3 linked regions of the Arabidopsis thaliana genome follow. The protein of the gene in region 1 interacts with the protein of each later gene in a biochemical or structural test. Each region holds a gene or a part of one and is shown on either strand. Other genes may lie near its edges.

Evidence for each region.
Region 2: the proteins of ETO1 (region 1) and ACS5 form a complex in vitro, tested with the Arabidopsis thaliana proteins (one study listed by BioGRID).
Region 3: the proteins of ETO1 (region 1) and CUL3 form a complex in vitro, tested with the Arabidopsis thaliana proteins (one study listed by BioGRID).

Annotation. Positions count from the first base shown.
Region 1 is NC_003074.8:19,199,145-19,206,115, forward strand, and holds ETO1 (tetratricopeptide repeat (TPR)-containing protein), read right to left. Parts: upstream 5,321-6,971; 5' UTR 4,946-5,320; intron 4,855-4,945; coding exon 2,804-4,854; intron 2,697-2,803; coding exon 2,405-2,696; intron 2,117-2,404; coding exon 1,807-2,116; intron 1,411-1,806; coding exon 1,184-1,410; 3' UTR 606-1,183; downstream 1-605. Other genes in the region: AT3G51760 (hypothetical protein (DUF688)), read right to left, coding at 16-261. UniProt on the Arabidopsis thaliana protein: Essential regulator of the ethylene pathway, which acts by regulating the stability of 1-aminocyclopropane-1-carboxylate synthase (ACS) enzymes.
Region 2 is NC_003076.8:26,330,149-26,334,742, forward strand, and holds ACS5 (ACC synthase 5), read right to left. Parts: upstream 2,665-4,594; 5' UTR 2,551-2,664; coding exon 2,272-2,550; intron 2,168-2,271; coding exon 2,007-2,167; intron 1,921-2,006; coding exon 948-1,920; 3' UTR 598-947; downstream 1-597. UniProt on the Arabidopsis thaliana protein: 1-aminocyclopropane-1-carboxylate synthase (ACS) enzymes catalyze the conversion of S-adenosyl-L-methionine (SAM) into 1-aminocyclopropane-1-carboxylate (ACC), a direct precursor of ethylene.
Region 3 is NC_003070.9:9,293,632-9,299,129, reverse strand, and holds CUL3 (cullin 3), read right to left. Parts: upstream 3,566-5,498; 5' UTR 3,199-3,565; intron 3,078-3,198; 5' UTR 3,068-3,077; coding exon 2,907-3,067; intron 2,794-2,906; coding exon 756-2,793; 3' UTR 501-755; downstream 1-500. Other genes in the region: ORC6 (origin recognition complex protein 6), read right to left, coding at 48-94, 189-308; RNS3 (ribonuclease 3), read left to right, coding at 5,408-5,497. UniProt on the Arabidopsis thaliana protein: Component of the cullin-RING ubiquitin ligases (CRL), or CUL3-RBX1-BTB protein E3 ligase complexes which mediate the ubiquitination and subsequent proteasomal degradation of target proteins.

The sequences.
Region 1 (6,971 bases):
AGAAAAATACGTAACCTTCAGTCTTCCAGGAGGTAGTTTGAGCCGGGGCGTTTCAGATTCAGCGTCATTTTTCAAATGAGACGAGTTCTTGGGCATCCCGGGAGCGGTTTCCCAGCAAAATGGAACAGAAGCTTCCGGAAACTGGCCCGGAAGCTTCTCTTGGGTGACATGGCGCTTCGTCGACAAGAATGGAGCATTGAAGTTCAATCTTCGGGATCGGTTAATATCCATCATTTCTTCAACCGTAAGATACAAAATCATCTGAGTGGGAAGGGTATGTTCTTGTTTGCGACCCAAAGAAGGCAAAATTGTGAGTTTGGGAGAGATCTTTGTTGTGTTGACACTCTTCTTTTCTAGTTTGTTAGCTGAAAGTTGAAATTTAATGAGAAGTTGTTGAAAGTTTGAAACTTTCTCGTGTATGCAAAACCGATATTTGTGGCCTCTTTATTGTGTTCACAGGTCAGGAGAGCTTTGGAAAAAGTTGAGTTTCCAATCCAACCATGTGGTGATAAAATCGATCATGAAACCAAACAAGAACTCAAACCCAAATCTAGAAGTAAGGAGATGATTTCCTCATCAAGTGATAAAAAAGAATGTTGAAATATTGAGGATACTCTTGGTGAAACATGTTGAAATGTAAGAAGAATGAATAGTTTCTTTGTTTTCTTGTTTCAGGAGGATAAAAAACAAATCCCCGGATGCTTTTGGAGAATCAATACAAGAAACATGTAAAAAAAAAAAAGGTGAAGAAGTTACAGATACAATTTTACATAATTCCAGTGATGAAAAAAATAAATAAAAAGAAAGAAGCAATAATACATCTAGAAATAGGACAGAAGAAGAAGTCCAATTTCACCAGAGGTAAGTTCTTCTTCGTGGTTTTCCCTTTTTTTTGTTGGCCAGAAAACGTATTATCTTTAGCAGCAAGAAACACTCTCTGCACTACTTATAAAGTATCCTCTCACCCCCCAATAACCAAAATTATAGAGAAAAAAAAATAATATATAAAAAAGTTTCTATTTACATGGCTATGCTTGCTTTTTCCCTGGTTCACTCAAACCAAGCTTTCTTTGATTTGCTCCAAGTTCTGTTTTGCACAAGGAAAATGAAACAGTGTAGAAGCCATACCAGGAGGGAAGAAGAGAAATATTTTTGCCCATCAAACCAAATTGATAGTTTTGTTCTACTTTTGGTCGTTTGGTTCACGAGCTTTGTGGTAGAGCTCGAGTGTATCTGCATGACCTGGATCAATACATAATGCTGCTTCACAATCTTTTATAGCAGACGCTCCTTCTCCCATTGAATCATAGAATGCTGCTCGTAGATGTAATAGCTGAAGATCTGGTTTAAATGATATCGCCCTCGAAAGCTCGTCTATGGCTTCACTTTCTTTGTGGTCGTCCATAAGAACTGCAACCAAGAGTTCATGTTAAACAAAGCGAAACTTAAAAAGAAAACTTGATACTCTGGTCTTAGCAAAACTATTTTTCATATTCAAATTCACCAAAACCAAACCAGAGAAACTGCATATCAATTCGGTATAAGTACAGAAGTATATAACACTCGCAGTTCTGTTTCTATCTCCAGAAAGATGATCGAAATCTCATTTCTTTCATGTGTTGGGGTCACAAATTATCATTTCCGTTTTCATCACCACATAAGCTGGGTTCTACGTTTTTCTAACACTTTTATACGTGGGAGAATCCCTCAGAAAGGATCAGCCATTGTTGTCTTGTTTCTGGCATCCAATTATAAACAACAGACAAAAGGAGGATAAACAAGAACTTGGTTGTGTCATTAACATACCTGCGGCTCTGTATCTGTAAGGATAGGTTCGGAGAGGGTCAAGTTGTGTTGCCAGGCAAAGGTCGCTCTGAGCCATCTCGCGGTCACAATATTCAGAGCGCTTCTCATATGCCGACGCATTGTTCTGAGCCTTCTCTATTAGCTTTGTCATTTCATCATAAGCAGCTTTCCGTTGGTTTTTCAGGTGATAAACACGTGCAAGACCTTGGTGAGCTCGTGTATGCTTGATGGTGAGCGCGTTTGTGTAGCAATCAGCTGCAAGATCCAGCTTTTCACAATCCACGTATACGCTCCCCAGGTTGTTCAATGCCTGCAAGCAAATACACCAAACGGGAGTTCATGATATTGAATGTCATATGATTTAGTAGGATAACCTTTTGACCAAATATACTAAACGGTTTTTAAGAGAGTTGGCTCCTGAGATGCGACCACATTCCACTATCAACAAGTTATTCCAGGCACCAAGAACAAAAAGTTTTACATTGGGATTCTGATACTATGGCAGTCTGAAGGATGATCCAACAAACCCTCTAGAAAAGGAATTGACTTATTGAGAAATTGAATTACATAAATGAAAACTGTTGAACTCTTTACTTACTTGTCCCTTACGGAGACCATCTGAGGGGCACTTAAGCGCTTCTTGAAGGAGCTGAATCACATAATTAGAGGAGTCCGGGTCAAGCGTAGAGTCTGCAAGGGCGTAAGCTTTGAGGAAAAACGCTTCAAACGACCTTTGGATGGAAATGGATTCCTCCGCTTTGGCAAGGGCTTCCTCGCGGTGGCCTGTATCATACAGTATCCATCCTTCATACACAAGTCTCTCATGCTCCGACTTTGAATGGTTTCGAGCCAGCCTTAGACTACGCATTGCTGCCTTTTGACAATTGAGCCTGTCAGTATACAACCAGCACTTGTTAAAATCACTTACAGTCTAAAACAACATGCACCACAAGAAAAAAAATTCATTGAGAAGCGGAAAGAGAGGTTTAGATTATACCGTAGGAGAAGAAGAGACTGTCTGAACCGTAAAAGACTCTTCCCTGGATCATTTGCAAGCATATGATGAACAACTGCTAGAGATCCAATATCATCCACAGAAGACCAACGATCATACAGCTGCATCCAGCAATCAGCCTGGCTCCACTGCTGGGCTAGCGGACGGAGCAACTCCACCATATGATCACCATGGATTTTCCAGTTAAACATCATAAAATTTGGCTCCAATGTCAAAAGCGCCCGAATATCTTTCAAAGCACCCTCGTAATCCTCCATACCTATAGAAATCCATGCCCTCATCTCTAGACAGTCAGGAGAGGCCTTGAATCCAAGAATCTTGTTCAGTTCTGCGATTGCAGCTCCAAACTGGTTTTCTTCCACCAAAGCCACTGCCCTGAACTTGTAGGGGAATGTCAAAGTAGGGTCAAACTCGGTAGCTGTATCCAAATCAAGCAGCTTTTCTTTACCACTGCAATACAAGGACCTTTCCTGGTGCATCCACCCAGTAGCCTTGTGATCCGAAATCAAGGAATTGATGATCTTATAAGCCGAGTACCTGTGGTCACGCTTAAACTTAGTCCTGGCAACACCCACGAGAGAGTAAAGATGGCCAGCCTCAACCGCTGCGTTAAACCATCTCTGAGCATCCTTATATTCTTTTCTCTCTAGCATCACCACTCCTAATTGGTGATACGCAAGCTGTTTCTCCCAACTATCCACCGCACATTCAACCAGACGTTCTAAGAGCATCACAGTTGTGTTAGATTTCATATCATCTTCCATCGCAATCTGGCTCAAGAAGAAGTACAATGTAAAAGAAGCATGGCCAAGAGACGCCAGTCTTTCCCGTCCCTCGGCGCTGCAGAAAATCTTTATAACATTCGGATTATGCATAGAGCTAGGCAATTCCCTGAGAAAAACCTGAAGACAAGCTGCCACCAGAAGATACGCAGCCTCTTCTAATCCGTACTCAATCAACAACATTGCCTCATCCAGAGAATTAACAAGATGTGCCAAATGCGAATCACAAGCGGATTTCAATTCATCGCAGCAGAACCGATTTGCAAGCTTAAGAAGCTCCAAGACAACATTAGGAGGGAAGTTATCTAACCTGTTGGTCCTGCTGAAAATCTCTGCAGCTCTCATCCCTTCAACAGAGATTCCATTCTGCGTAAAATTGATCGTGGCTCGTTTCATTTCTCTAAACCCACCGTATAACATCGCCTTGAAAGGTCTGGACAAAGACGCGATTTTGTACCTCACACAACGAACCTCTTCATCACCAATACAAAATGACATATCATAGTCTACTTCTTGAGAAGTAGAACATTCATCTTCATTCATCATCTCTGATCTAGAAGCTCCAGAGCAAACACATGGATCATAAACAGATTCAGGATCATAACCAGAAACAAGAGTAGCCTTTGGACATTCCAAATTCCTGCCACAACAATCCATAGAAGTCGTTCCAATCAACTCATCCTCCCTCCTCTCGAACCTAAGCCACGAGGCTAACACGACTTTCGCGTGAACATCCACCGCATGTTGCCTAGACGACCGGAGACTCCGCCGGAACAGTTTCGGATCAGAAATGCCCCGGAAGATAGCGCATTGCTCTAAATAAGCCCCAGATTTCTCAAACTGAGAACAATTCTCAATCCTACGATAAACTTGAGCCATCTTCTCAACCAAATCAACGAATTTCAAGCAAGGATCGATTTGAGGTTCAAGCAGATCCGTAACAGGAAGTCCACAAGGGAGAAGAAACTCGGGAGAAACGACAGCGTTTGGTTGAGTAGGAGGAGGATAAGTCCGGCTTGATTTAGATCGGACAGAATTAACACGAAGATGATCTGAAAGATGTTGTAAAAGCTTATCCCCAACACCTCCGGTGCCACCGCCGCTACCACCACCACCACCACCACCGCTGCTGCTATTACCAGGAGGAGGAGGCGGAGTAGGAGCTGATGGGTTAAGAGCGTAAACTTGTGTACCTTTACAACCTTCAGCAAGCTTCAAACTTCGCATTGTTGTGAAGAGATTATGCTGCATCTTCAAATCAAAAACAACCAATAAAAATTTCAAATTTATCCAAAGATCTGGGTCAATACCAAAAACAAGATTTACAAATTTGTTCCGTCACCTTAAAAACAATTCCGAGGATTGGATCACGGAGCCAATCCACCAAAAGGAGGTCTGTCCCTTTAACCAATAAAAATCGTTTCTTTTTTTTTTCAAATAAAGTTTCTCAACGAAGGTCTTGTTCTTCGTCTTCTTCTTCTTCTCGGAAATGGTGTTTTTGCACTGTAAGTTTCATCGATCCGGTTCGTTTTTTTTTTTGGGTTGATGGCACTAATTTTACGAATCTTCCCGTAAAAATAGAGAGATGGTAATTGGAGGAAGAATCTTCCTCCGCTCGATCTCTCTTTCAATCTCTCTCTCAGTTTTCGTTTATTGTTTTTCTTTTTCTTTTTTATTACCAATCTGTTTTTCAGAGAGAAGTCATGCGTACTTCTAATAATGCAAAATTAAAATTTTATTACTATATGTGTTTGTTTGTGGTATCTTTTTTTTAATTCAGGTTTTTTTTATTTATCTTTGCCTTTTTTATTTTTGTCCTCTTGTTAGTTTTTGTGGAAAGTAGTAATTTGCTTAGTTTATTTATTTCCCTTTAAAGGCTTAAATTAATCCTCTTCTAACGTTATCAACTGCCATTTTTTTTATTTCTTAGATTTTCGCGGCACTTTTTACAATCTCCAAAAAGGTTGAAAAAAATTAATTAAACATTTATGTGAAAGTAATGGCCTTTAATTTTACTTTGACAGTTTATTGATCCCCCCCCCCCCACTTTTTACTTTAGCATGCTTCTATGTTACATTTGTTTCCCTTTTTTCTATTTGTTTAAGTCTAATATGTGTATGCTTACTTTTCTTTTAACCATTTTCTCTGGCTGAATTTTAACTTTTACTTTTGGGTGCCTTGAAACAGTGCCAACATTCATATCTATTGTAGCTTGAAGAAGAGTGGATTCCATCATTTTTTGGTATTTATTTATTGTCTTCCCTTTTGACAAGATTGGTTGTAATTAATCTGTTATTTTATTATATTTTCATTATAAAAACACCAAATGACACATTTTTATATTTTTGCTAACTCACAAATCAGAAAGAAAGTGTTACTAGTAAAATATTATATCTTTCCATTGCGGTTTCATAACTGTTAACTACTATAGTGTATAAATGTTGTAAATGATAAAAAAAAATATTTCAATTTTTCCGCATAAACTAGAGACGAGTCTAATTTTGATAAAAAAAAATCAATAATAAACAAAATATTGGATTCATAATTTTGCAATTTTAATTAAATAAACTACCATGATAAATGGTTTTTGTTCTCTTAGCCATGCATATTAACTTTTATTAGAAATATGTTCACTAATCAATGACTGTCTCCATGGATTAACTTGTTTTTATATATTGAAAGGTTGGTTCTTCATGGATTTTTTTTTGGATAAAATGTGAATTATATTACCAAAAGGAAACAGGTTATTTACAAAGCTGGGGGCAAGGAGCTTTTATGGTAAAAAAAATTAAAAAGCCGTAGATAACTATTACATAGAAACTGAAACTAGTTGAGTTTGCTAAGCATGGGAGAACCATTGGGATAGTAGACGTGTGCAGCCGAGGCGGAAACGTCTTGCTAGAAGTATGTTCTTCATGGATTTGACACTCAAGTGAAGCGAGCTGAGCTGAGTTATTGGAACCTCATGAACGAAAATTACTCTTAACAACATCAAAAATTTGACAAAAAAAATGTTTCAGTTAGTCCATCGATTAAGCTTAAAATAATCTGCTAATATTATCAGTTATTTCGTTGGTAATTTGAATATAAAAATCCTGAATCACTCATCTCTTAGAATCTGTCAAAACTATATTCCGCTTGACCAAAATAAATTCTAGTTTTACTACTATTTGGCCAGTTTAAATTACGCAAAAAAAAACAACGTCCATAGATCTGTCAGAATCTTTCATAAACAATATTTATGCAGAGATTCGTCGTTATCATTTATATTCATAAGTATTAAGTACCTTTCAAATGTTGAGGCTGCCACATACCGGTTGTGCGTGACACAATTATACATTGCTGATATTTTCTCGCAAATCCAATTA
Region 2 (4,594 bases), on another chromosome or scaffold:
AGATTTCGGTTTCTCATAAGTTGCTCATTTTTTTCTTATAATTACGTTAATCCTGATAGAGTAAGTTTTGATTATACAAAAAAAAAATGTGGATTTCGTTGTAAACTTGTAATTTTAGTTCAAATATGTGACGTGAACATTCTTACGCAATGCAACGTACCTATTCAAAGCTCAAAACTTTACTGCCGTAGAACGCTAGAAGCTACCTTTACCCCGAAATTGTTAATGGGTTTTAGTCGATTTTTAACTAAATTATTTAGGCTTCATCGAATATTTTCGACAAGTAGATCATACCTTCTCTCTTGATTCACCTAAGTGGAAAACCTTTGACTTTCCCCTTTTGCTTTCTCAGTTGACCAATTCGACAATTCCCGCCATATTACCATATAATGATTAATTAATTAGTTAATTGACATTAAATTAAGCCTCCTTTTGATATGCCTCAACTAACGTCCTTAACCAACAACGTTAACACGATCTTTATAGCCTTATAGTCAGAGGAGAATTCTCACAACAAACTCAAAAACTATACCAAATGATAGAGCATAAAATTAAAGAAACCCATATTTATAAAACAAAATATATATAAACTAAAAAGAGTGAATTACATTTTTATATATGGGTACAATACACACAAACGTTTCACTAAAATTACAACGGGATATATATTTATTTATATATATAGCCACTGCAAATCCACATTCGGATTGAGTGCATTAAAAACATATAATAACACATAGTAACAATTTTACACCCGAAAAATTGCATAAATTAAAGACTCACCCAAACATTAAAAAAAATATTACATATATAATGATATGATTATAGATATCTTGGAAAATTAAAAATACTTTCCCAAAATATAAAAAATGAAGGAAATAAAGAAGAAGAAAAAACCGTGAAGTTTTCTTTTGTTCGTCGTCTCAAACTTAGGGAGATGAATAATTTCATCGTTCATCAGGTACACGATCGGTCCATGAAACCCGGAAAACCCAGTTAGAGACTGTCTTCTTCCTCAAACTCTTGAGCCTTTCATGGCTGCTTCTTGATATCATTCGTCCACAGTCTGTGGATTCTACGAAAGTTTTGAGCCTCTTCAAGGCCAAATCGAGTGTGTCCTCGCTCATATTAGCGAAACAAACCCTAAACCAACCCGGTTCGGTGCAGTGACATGAAGAACCGGGTGATATGTTTAGTTTCACGTTGTAAACAATCTTTTTCCAGAGGTCAAGCTCTGCTTCAAATGTGTTTGTGTCCAAAAGGTGTCTCATGTCGACCCAACAGAACAAACCCGCGTTGCTTCTCAGGCAAGTAATCCCTGCAGACTCAAGACCAGACACGAGGCGTCTCTGTCTGGACTTGAGTCGTTTCTGGTTCTCTTCGAGGTATTGGCTAGTGAACTTCTTGTCGGAGAGCAATGCAGAGAGAAGGTATTGTGTCTGAGAAGAAACAAGACCAAAACTTGACATTTTTGTAGCTGCTGAAACGATCATTTCGTCGTTGGAGTAGATCGCTCCCACACGGAAACCAGGAAGTCCCAGATCTTTAGAAAGGCTATAAACGACGTGGACTCGTTTTGAAACCTCCGTGTCTTCGAGTTTCTTGTCTTTCAAGACATCCATTACGCTTATGAACTGTTCAAACCCGAACATAGTGCCTGAATAGATCTCGTCGCTAATGAGATGAATGTTCTTGGAAGTGATGAAGTCAACGAGAAGGTTAAGTTCACGTCTGGTCAACGCAGTGCCAAGTGGGTTAGATGGATTCGTGACAAGAACTCCTTTGACTTTGAGATCAAGTTTCTGGGCTTGTTGGTAAGCTTGTTGCAGAGCTGATTCCGTGATTTGGAAGCCATTAGAGCTTGAGCAGTGAATGGGTACTATCTCTGCTCCGGTTCTCCATTTAAGATCTCTATCAAATCTGTAATCATAAAAAAGCCTAGACGTAAGCATATATTTCTATTGGGTTTACTTGGAATCCAAGTAAAGAGGAGAAGTGTAATTTACCCAGGATAGTAAGGAGTAGGCAAAAGGAAAGCATCGCCAGGCTCTGCAAGGCAAAACATGAGAGTCTCATTCGCAGATGTCGAACCAGCCGCTAAAACAATCTTTTTTGGATCGAACGTGACACGGTTTCCTCTTATCTCTTCCATAAACTCAGCCATAGCCTGTAAAAAATGACAGAAAATGTTCATGAGAAATGGATTCATTACTTGTGATACACGTCAGGTTACTCTCTTTATTGAATTTGAGAAAAATGAAAGAAGCTTACTTTTTTGAATTCAGGCATGCCATGATAGTCTTGAAATAGAGCAAGCTCTCTGAAAATGGATTGACCGTTCCTCTTGAGACTTGCCGCGTCTGGGTTCTTAGTTAACCATGACTCGATTAGATCGAAACATAGCTGGTTTTCGGCTAGACCCATCTGGATCATCCCATTAGGGTTCTTGATCTCATCATAAGGATTCTTCTCGTACTCTTCCCATCCCAAGAAGTAGGATGAGTCTTGTCCATGACCATTGCTTGTCACTTTTGTCGAAAGCTGTTTCATTCTCTGTTTTTAAAGTCAAGAGATTTTGGTCGTAGAGAAGACTAATGTGGGTGAAGGAGAGAACGAAAAGAAGAGATCTTGAATTAGGGTTTAAGTTGGTGAAGAGTGAGATGTGGTTGGAGAAGCAATGGGTCTGTTGGGATATATATATATATAGATAATAATAATCTAACGACATTTAATTTCAAAAATAAAATGTGACAACAGAATCAGAAACTAGAGAGACTTTTTTGACCGTCCAGACATTACCATAGTTTTTAGTAAATATTCTCCAAGACATGTGAGACAACTTCTTTTATTATTTAATGCGATCTCCAATAATTAACAAGCTATATTATTTAATACAAAATAAACAATTAAAACATTGCAGTAGTTCTTGTTTCTTTTTGAAAATAAGAATGATCTATTATTGAGTTTCTATTTATTATTGCATTCACACATACAGCAATAAATCTTAGGATTATGTTTAAATAAAAATAAAAAAACCAGCTCTACATAGGGACAAAATTAAATAACACATTTTGAGCTTCTTTCCAAAATTTATTTGATCGTTTTCTAGGATTCAAGCATATTTAATAATAATTCTACAAATTAATAGTACTAAAATGATTAGTCTTTACGCGTTTCCGTCACCGCCGGACCGTCCTTATTATGACCATCATTTAGGGACCAAACATAGCAATTTAAAAAGAAACCTCAAATGTAATTAACTTTTTGTTGTTGTTGTATAAACTGAATCACTATGCTTATGATTAGTTTAGTCGTCCATTCACGATGTCAGCTACAAAATTGGCTGTGTGAAGTTGGATAGAAAAAAGAACCAACATTAATTTATATTCTACTTCTTGTCCAATACTAATGCCAAATAATTACTATTTATAGACTGCTAAAATTTTATATGTCGTATAATGTGAGTATTTTGCTGAAAAAAACTGTGAGCATTTTATGTAACTTTAGTTATCAGATTCTGTAATTAAGTGTCAACACGTTGACTTAGAAAATATTAACAAAATAAAATAGGGTGGTAAACGTAAAATTGGAAAACAAGGAAATGACATACAAGAAAAATGAACAGAGACAAGTGGAGCTAGGGGAGTCAAATGTAATGTCATACCGACATCAAATCGTCTAAAGTAATCCTGTATACCTATGCATCTACGTATGTATACATTTATACGGCTAAAATACATTTATTTATACGGTAGAGGGTAAGTCAAATAGGACCATTTATGCTCCCTAAACTCTAGTAGTCCCAAATGTCTTGGTCCGCAATTTTTTTTCGTTTTCTCTTCCTCTATCATTGACAACAACTTATTTATTTGGTGGGATCGGATACATACAAATATGTTTTTTACTGACTAGGATGTTTTCAGTCTTGTAATTATCGACAGGTTAACCGGAGTTGTAATTAGTTTTTTTTTTTTTTTGGTTAAAGGGTTTTGGAGTTAGTTTCATGTGAATTATGCGGTATTCACTGACGTAGACTGATCTCCAATACCAATAGAATAAATGATGATAGTTTAGCATAATTGTGTTGGTCCGCAGTTTATGTAAAAATAAATGTTGAGTCAGATATTGTTGCAGATATATTGATATAGTTACTTTGATCATGGGTGAAATAATGAGTTTGGATGGTTATCATAATAAAAACATAAACACAAATTTTTTGTAGAATACAATTTTCCTACTAGTTGAATTGAGCTTTAGTTGTATATATCTTCATCCTGTTTTTTTTTTTAAAATGTATACAAATCAAAGAAATAAACATATTGTTTATTATATAAACTCGAAACTTTATTTAAAATAAGCTACTAGTAGAATGCACAAATATTTCTTGAAACATGAGATTTTCAAAATAAAAATCATAAAAATGATGTGCAATGAGTGATTCAGTTTTGGACCTAGAATGATTAGTATAAGAGCATAATATTTAATCAATCAAATTGAGTTATATTAACATAAAAATCAGGTGGACGATATCAAAACCCATGTTGGTGGCCGTTGGTTATAACTTATACCCCCAGATTTGTAGGCGACGTTGTTC
Region 3 (5,498 bases), on another chromosome or scaffold:
ACTATGGATATTGAAATCGTTATAAATCAATTACGATAATTATTTACCTAGTGGCGGCGATTTCTAGACAAATCACAGCTTTACAGATCTCACCCTGATAGAAAAATCAAATTCTCAACACATAAGGAAAAATTATAATCAAAGTACTCGATGTGAAACTTTGGGATTCAGAATCGGATTTATCTTACAACGCCGATGATGGATGAATCGAACTGAGCATCGCAAAGACGGCGGATCTCTGCAGCTTTTCTGATTAAAAGCTTGTTGTTATCGAGACTAAGTTTCCTACCTATGTCGGAGATATCCATATCCTTAATTTTCCGGCGATTGTTACAAGACAAAGAACCAAAGTCAGACACTGTGAGAGATTTTTTCCCCTAGAAATGTCAATGGAACCGATTAGGCTATGAAAACGCTATAAACAAAGCGTTGCCAACGTTTGGCGGGATTTTTTTACGCCTGGTTGAAATTTTAGCCGCGAATGTTTTTTTTGGCTCTTAACCGTTTAAAATGGGCCTTAAAAGGCCTCGAGCCGGCCCAACGTGTCCAGAAGCTGAAATCACATACGGTATCTGATGAAAGACAAAAGAAAAGGAAACAAATGTATATTCGATTAAACCGGTAGTGACGCTGTGTTGGTTCGTTCTTACCGACTACCGTACAGTTCAAAAGATTTTACATCAAACATAAGGAAATAAAGCAAAGAAAGAAACAGAGTAAAGCCTTTTTTTTTTGGGTTGTGGTATTCAACTTATTTAGGCTAGATAGCGGTAAAGTTTCCGGTCTGTACTATCCCTTTCCAAGAAATCTCGTTCAATGAGCGACTCGATTCTCTTCTTTATCTCCGTGGGATTAGCTAGGAACCGTGGCTGCAACTGTTTCGTCACCTCGGCGATTATGTTGTTGTGGTCTAGTATTTTCCTGGACTTCATGATCCTTACGATGGCTGCTTCAATCTGAGGTTTTCTGTCTTCCTCCACTCTCTGTCTCGTCTCTTGCTTCTCCGGTTCTGTTTCCTTTTGGGCAACCACAGTTCCGATCTTCACTTTGTAAAACTTGCTAGTGAACTTGTCGTTCACAACGAACAAATCCTCCTCTCCTATGTCTTTGCTCATGGGTTCTTTCTTTATCACGTTTTTGCCCTTTACACAAGCTAGCGACTGCAAACAGCGTTTAAGATCTGCTGCCGGGATTTCTGTAGCCTGTTCGATCTCTTTGTAGCTGAGTCGATCAGAATTGTTGAACAACATGAGAACACACATCTGGAAAGTCGACACGTTCAGTTCATGTTTCTGACCCTTTCCAAAGATGGCTTTGATATCTGCTGTGCCCATGTTTGTTTGCCAGGACAATCTTCTACCGGTATGTGTCCCAAGGTAGTAAGAACGGAACTTCTCACAGAGAACTGAAACTTCAGCTGGGAGATTACAAGGTACTGCAGGCTGTGTTGGCCAAGAACCAGTTGTAAGTACCTGAACAATAAGTGTAGGTCCTTCTGAAAGCTCGGGGTGACTGCCATAAAACCCACGCATTGTGTCCTCTGAAGTCTTCATGTCAGTGAACATGCCTTCCAATTTTGAAGTGAACTGATAGCCACATTCTGTCTTTAGTTTCACTATTAAACTCCTTTCTGCGTCATCTGACACAGTTTTGCCTGAGAGAAGCCTTTTAGCCAAATGCTGCTTGTAGTACTTCTCAAAGACATCTTTCTCTTGTAAATAACGGAACAGCATCATCACTTTATCAAGGATAACCTCAACATCCACATCGGTGATACCCTTAAGTCCTTTCCGTAGCTTGTCATCAACAAACAGGGAGATAAACTCAGGAGAACGAGCATTCAAGTTGATGAAATACTCGAATGAAGAATTCAGGGCATTCTGAAAGGTTTTATCATTGCCAAATGCGGTGTTGATGATTTTGTCATATTTATCCCGCTCATCCAATAGACGTTGTACAAATTCCACCGGATCCTTTGACTTTTCCGGATCAGTAACCAGTTGTTTTCCCATCTCCCTAAGATGCGAAGTCATAACGTCTCTGACAGTAACAAGACCATTAGTAACCCTGCGAAACAAGTTGTACATTCTACCCAAATCCTCATACTTGTCATTCAGAAGCATATTAACCAGACCTGAGTTCTCCATGTGAACCAGTCTCTGCATGTGGTTGGCAATCATCTCTTTCTCAACCACACTAGTAATCTTCTCTTCGCTCTTGGCATCTAAGTAGTGCGCTACCCTCTCTATCTCTTCAGTAAGGCGTTTCTCTGATTTCTTCAGATAGTCCCCACAATCACAAGATTCAATAAACTCCTGAGACTCAACCTTATAAAACTCAGAAGACGCATCCAAAAACGGCTTCTCAAAATCCTCCTGATACACAGATTCACCCAAATCCATAAACATCTTAATGACATTCCTCATCAACCCCCTATCAATAACTTCACCTATCCGTTCCTTCTGCACTAGATCAAGAAGAGTGTTTAGAAGCCTTGTATGTATCTTAGTGAAATGCACAACATTATCCCTCCACAAGTTAAGCCCCATCGGATGAACATGAGTCTTTTTGGTGCTCTCAATATAAGTCCTATCCATATACATGAGAATGTCTCGAATCATCTCTAACGCTTTGTTGTGCTCATTCCATTTCTTATTAAGCTCTTCTAGAAACGACCCTCCCTGAGCTGCCTCGATAAGCTTGGATTTTTCTTTGAGATGAGAAGTCATAGTAGCAATAAACCCAGTATATAGCTTCTCACCAAACTTGTGCAGGACCATGTTGTACGCATTTCTGAGCCACAATATACACAAATAATTCCATTAACACGAAACCTAGCTAAGTTCCAGAAACATTACCAGTTTCTACAGGATTCAAAGAAAGGCAAGAGAATGAAAGAAATTGACCTGTAAAGTTCTTCGAAACTGAGACCGCTAGCATCTTGATTGTAAATCTGATGGATCGCACGCTCAAGAATCTGCCAAGTTTTATCAGCGTATTTGGGATCCACAACGACTCGATGCTTAAACGCCTCTATCTGAAAATTCCTCTTCTTCTGATTACTCATATTTTGAAACCTGAATCCAAAACAAATCAATCTAAATTCACACAGCAACGAAAAAATTGACGAGCGAGAAGAAAGTATATATGTATAATCATAATGAAAATCAGGTGGATCGAGGAAATCGGAAGACTGACCGGAGAGGAAAGACGGATGATCGGGATTAGGGTTTGGAATTGTATTCTTTGCTTCCGTGAAAAGATTTGGGGGAAACAAAAAGATAGGAAATGGAATAATAATCGAAAAGTTTAAAGGAGAAAGAAGCTTAAGGCTAATTTGCAGCGTCGAAGAGATATAGATAGAGAGGTATCGGAGAAGATAGATTTCGAAGGTGGAGAAGAAGAAGAGGACAGACCAAACGGAGCGGAAGAAATAAAAGTGGACTCTCCGTCTCTGCTGGTGGTTTCCAAACTATAACGTATTTATTAAATTAAAGTCGCGGTTGTCACATTCTCGTCCTTTGGTATATTGGTTACAAAGAATTGTGAAATATCGAAGTCCAAGGATCGATCCCTAGTCGAAGCCAGTTATTTTTTTTTTTTTGACATTGGAGGTTTAGTTAGCTTTTATACTTATGTGGATATGACAAATTGGCACGTCGGTCATTTCATTTAATTGAACTAAAAATATGTCAACTTCTATTTCATAAAGAGGCTTTGAATCCCTTAGAGTGGCGAATGTTGCTTCTCCTCTTTTGGCAGAAGCCATGGCGCTTCATCTAGCCCAACAAAATGCCTTAGAACTCGGTTTTAGGAAGTCACCTTCGCTTCAGATTTGCAAACGCTGATCAAAGCTATCAACTCAGAATCCTTCCCAAAGAATCTCTACGTGATTTTCCAAGATGTTCTTGCTCTTTCGTTTAATTTCGATCAAATTTCTTTTCACTTCATTTTTAGAGAAAAAAACGGTTGTGCATATGCATATGCAAAATCTGCATTAAATTATGCACTTATTGTACCAACTTATGTATCGGTTTAAGTTTCGGTTTAATGAAATTTCAGCTTCTTGACGAAAAAAAAAAATCCCTTTTAATTCATTCACAAAAAAAGTTATATCGTCTGTTACCTTTCTCTTCACCAGTTTACCAACCTTTGTTGCTTGCATTCACTGTTTCGATGCCATATTCAATCGTCTCTATGCATCTGTTTAAAAAATGCATTTCCTCCACAACTTCAGCGACACTATGTTCTAACTTCTAACTAGTTTTTGTCGTTGTAAACACGTCAATGGATCTTCTTCCTTATCCCTGGTCAAGCTCATGATGATATTCTTTGTCTTTGCTTTCTTGAAGCCATTTTCTGGAAAGCAACGCATGGTATATACCATCTTTCTTGTTTTAATCATACAAACTTTGACTTGGACCTATCTTCTTACTTTTCATTGTATAATCTACAAACTTTATAACAATCTTCACCTTCCCTATAAGGTTAACCCAACTAGTGGATTATTCGTATCCACCTCAAGCGCCAAAACATGGTAAGGATCATTGGTAGATTTTAGTATGATTGTGAGGTAGGATCATTGCCGGCTCAAAGTTATGGGCGGTCTAAAGTTTTTTTTTTTTAATAAAAAAATTAGCAGAAGTAGTTGAGGGAACTCGAACACACAACCTCTTGGCTGAAAATGTGACATAAATCGCTGCACTGTAAGGAATTTTTATAATTTTATTGCCCCCAAATATTTGTGATACCTAAGGTTCTTGCATAAATGCAGAACTTGATAGAATACGGTACACACTGGAGTCTGTAACTGTAGAAGTAGAACCAAGTAGCCAACATGCGCCTCATCAAGAAACTTGACGTACGTTTCCGAGACGGGACAATGGTTTGATTTATGCCTTTATGGGTCTTTAACACTTTATGAGAAACAAGGATCTTTAAGTGGATTTAAATATTTAAAATTTAAGAAACAAAGGTCTTTAAGTGAATACTATAAGAGTTTCTTTATTTATTTTTCCAATCGAATACTCATAATTTTATAAATACTGAGACACATAATATTCGGCTAGCTCTAAAACATTGGAGCTGGAAAGTTTGCCTTACGTTACGTTAATTGGAGCTACAAAATACTCATAATTTTGTAGTTGAAGCATGATGAAAAGTTTGCCTTACGTTATTACTTTTTAAAGCATTGGAGCTGAAAATAAAATGCTTGCACGAAATACTAACCTAACACAATTAAGCAAACATATACCAATCACACGTCACGTCTCTCTACCCAAAACAAAATATCACACTTCACGTTATATGACTTATATAAACATATTCTAAACTATTTATCTATCATCCATCCTTCATTGGTTTTCGACAAATTTGATTCCCACAAATTATTTGATATCTTGAGGAAATGAAATTCTTCATTTTTATTCTAGCGTTACAACAACTCTACGTACAAAGTTTCGCCCAAGATTTCGATTTCTTCTACTTCGTTTTACAGG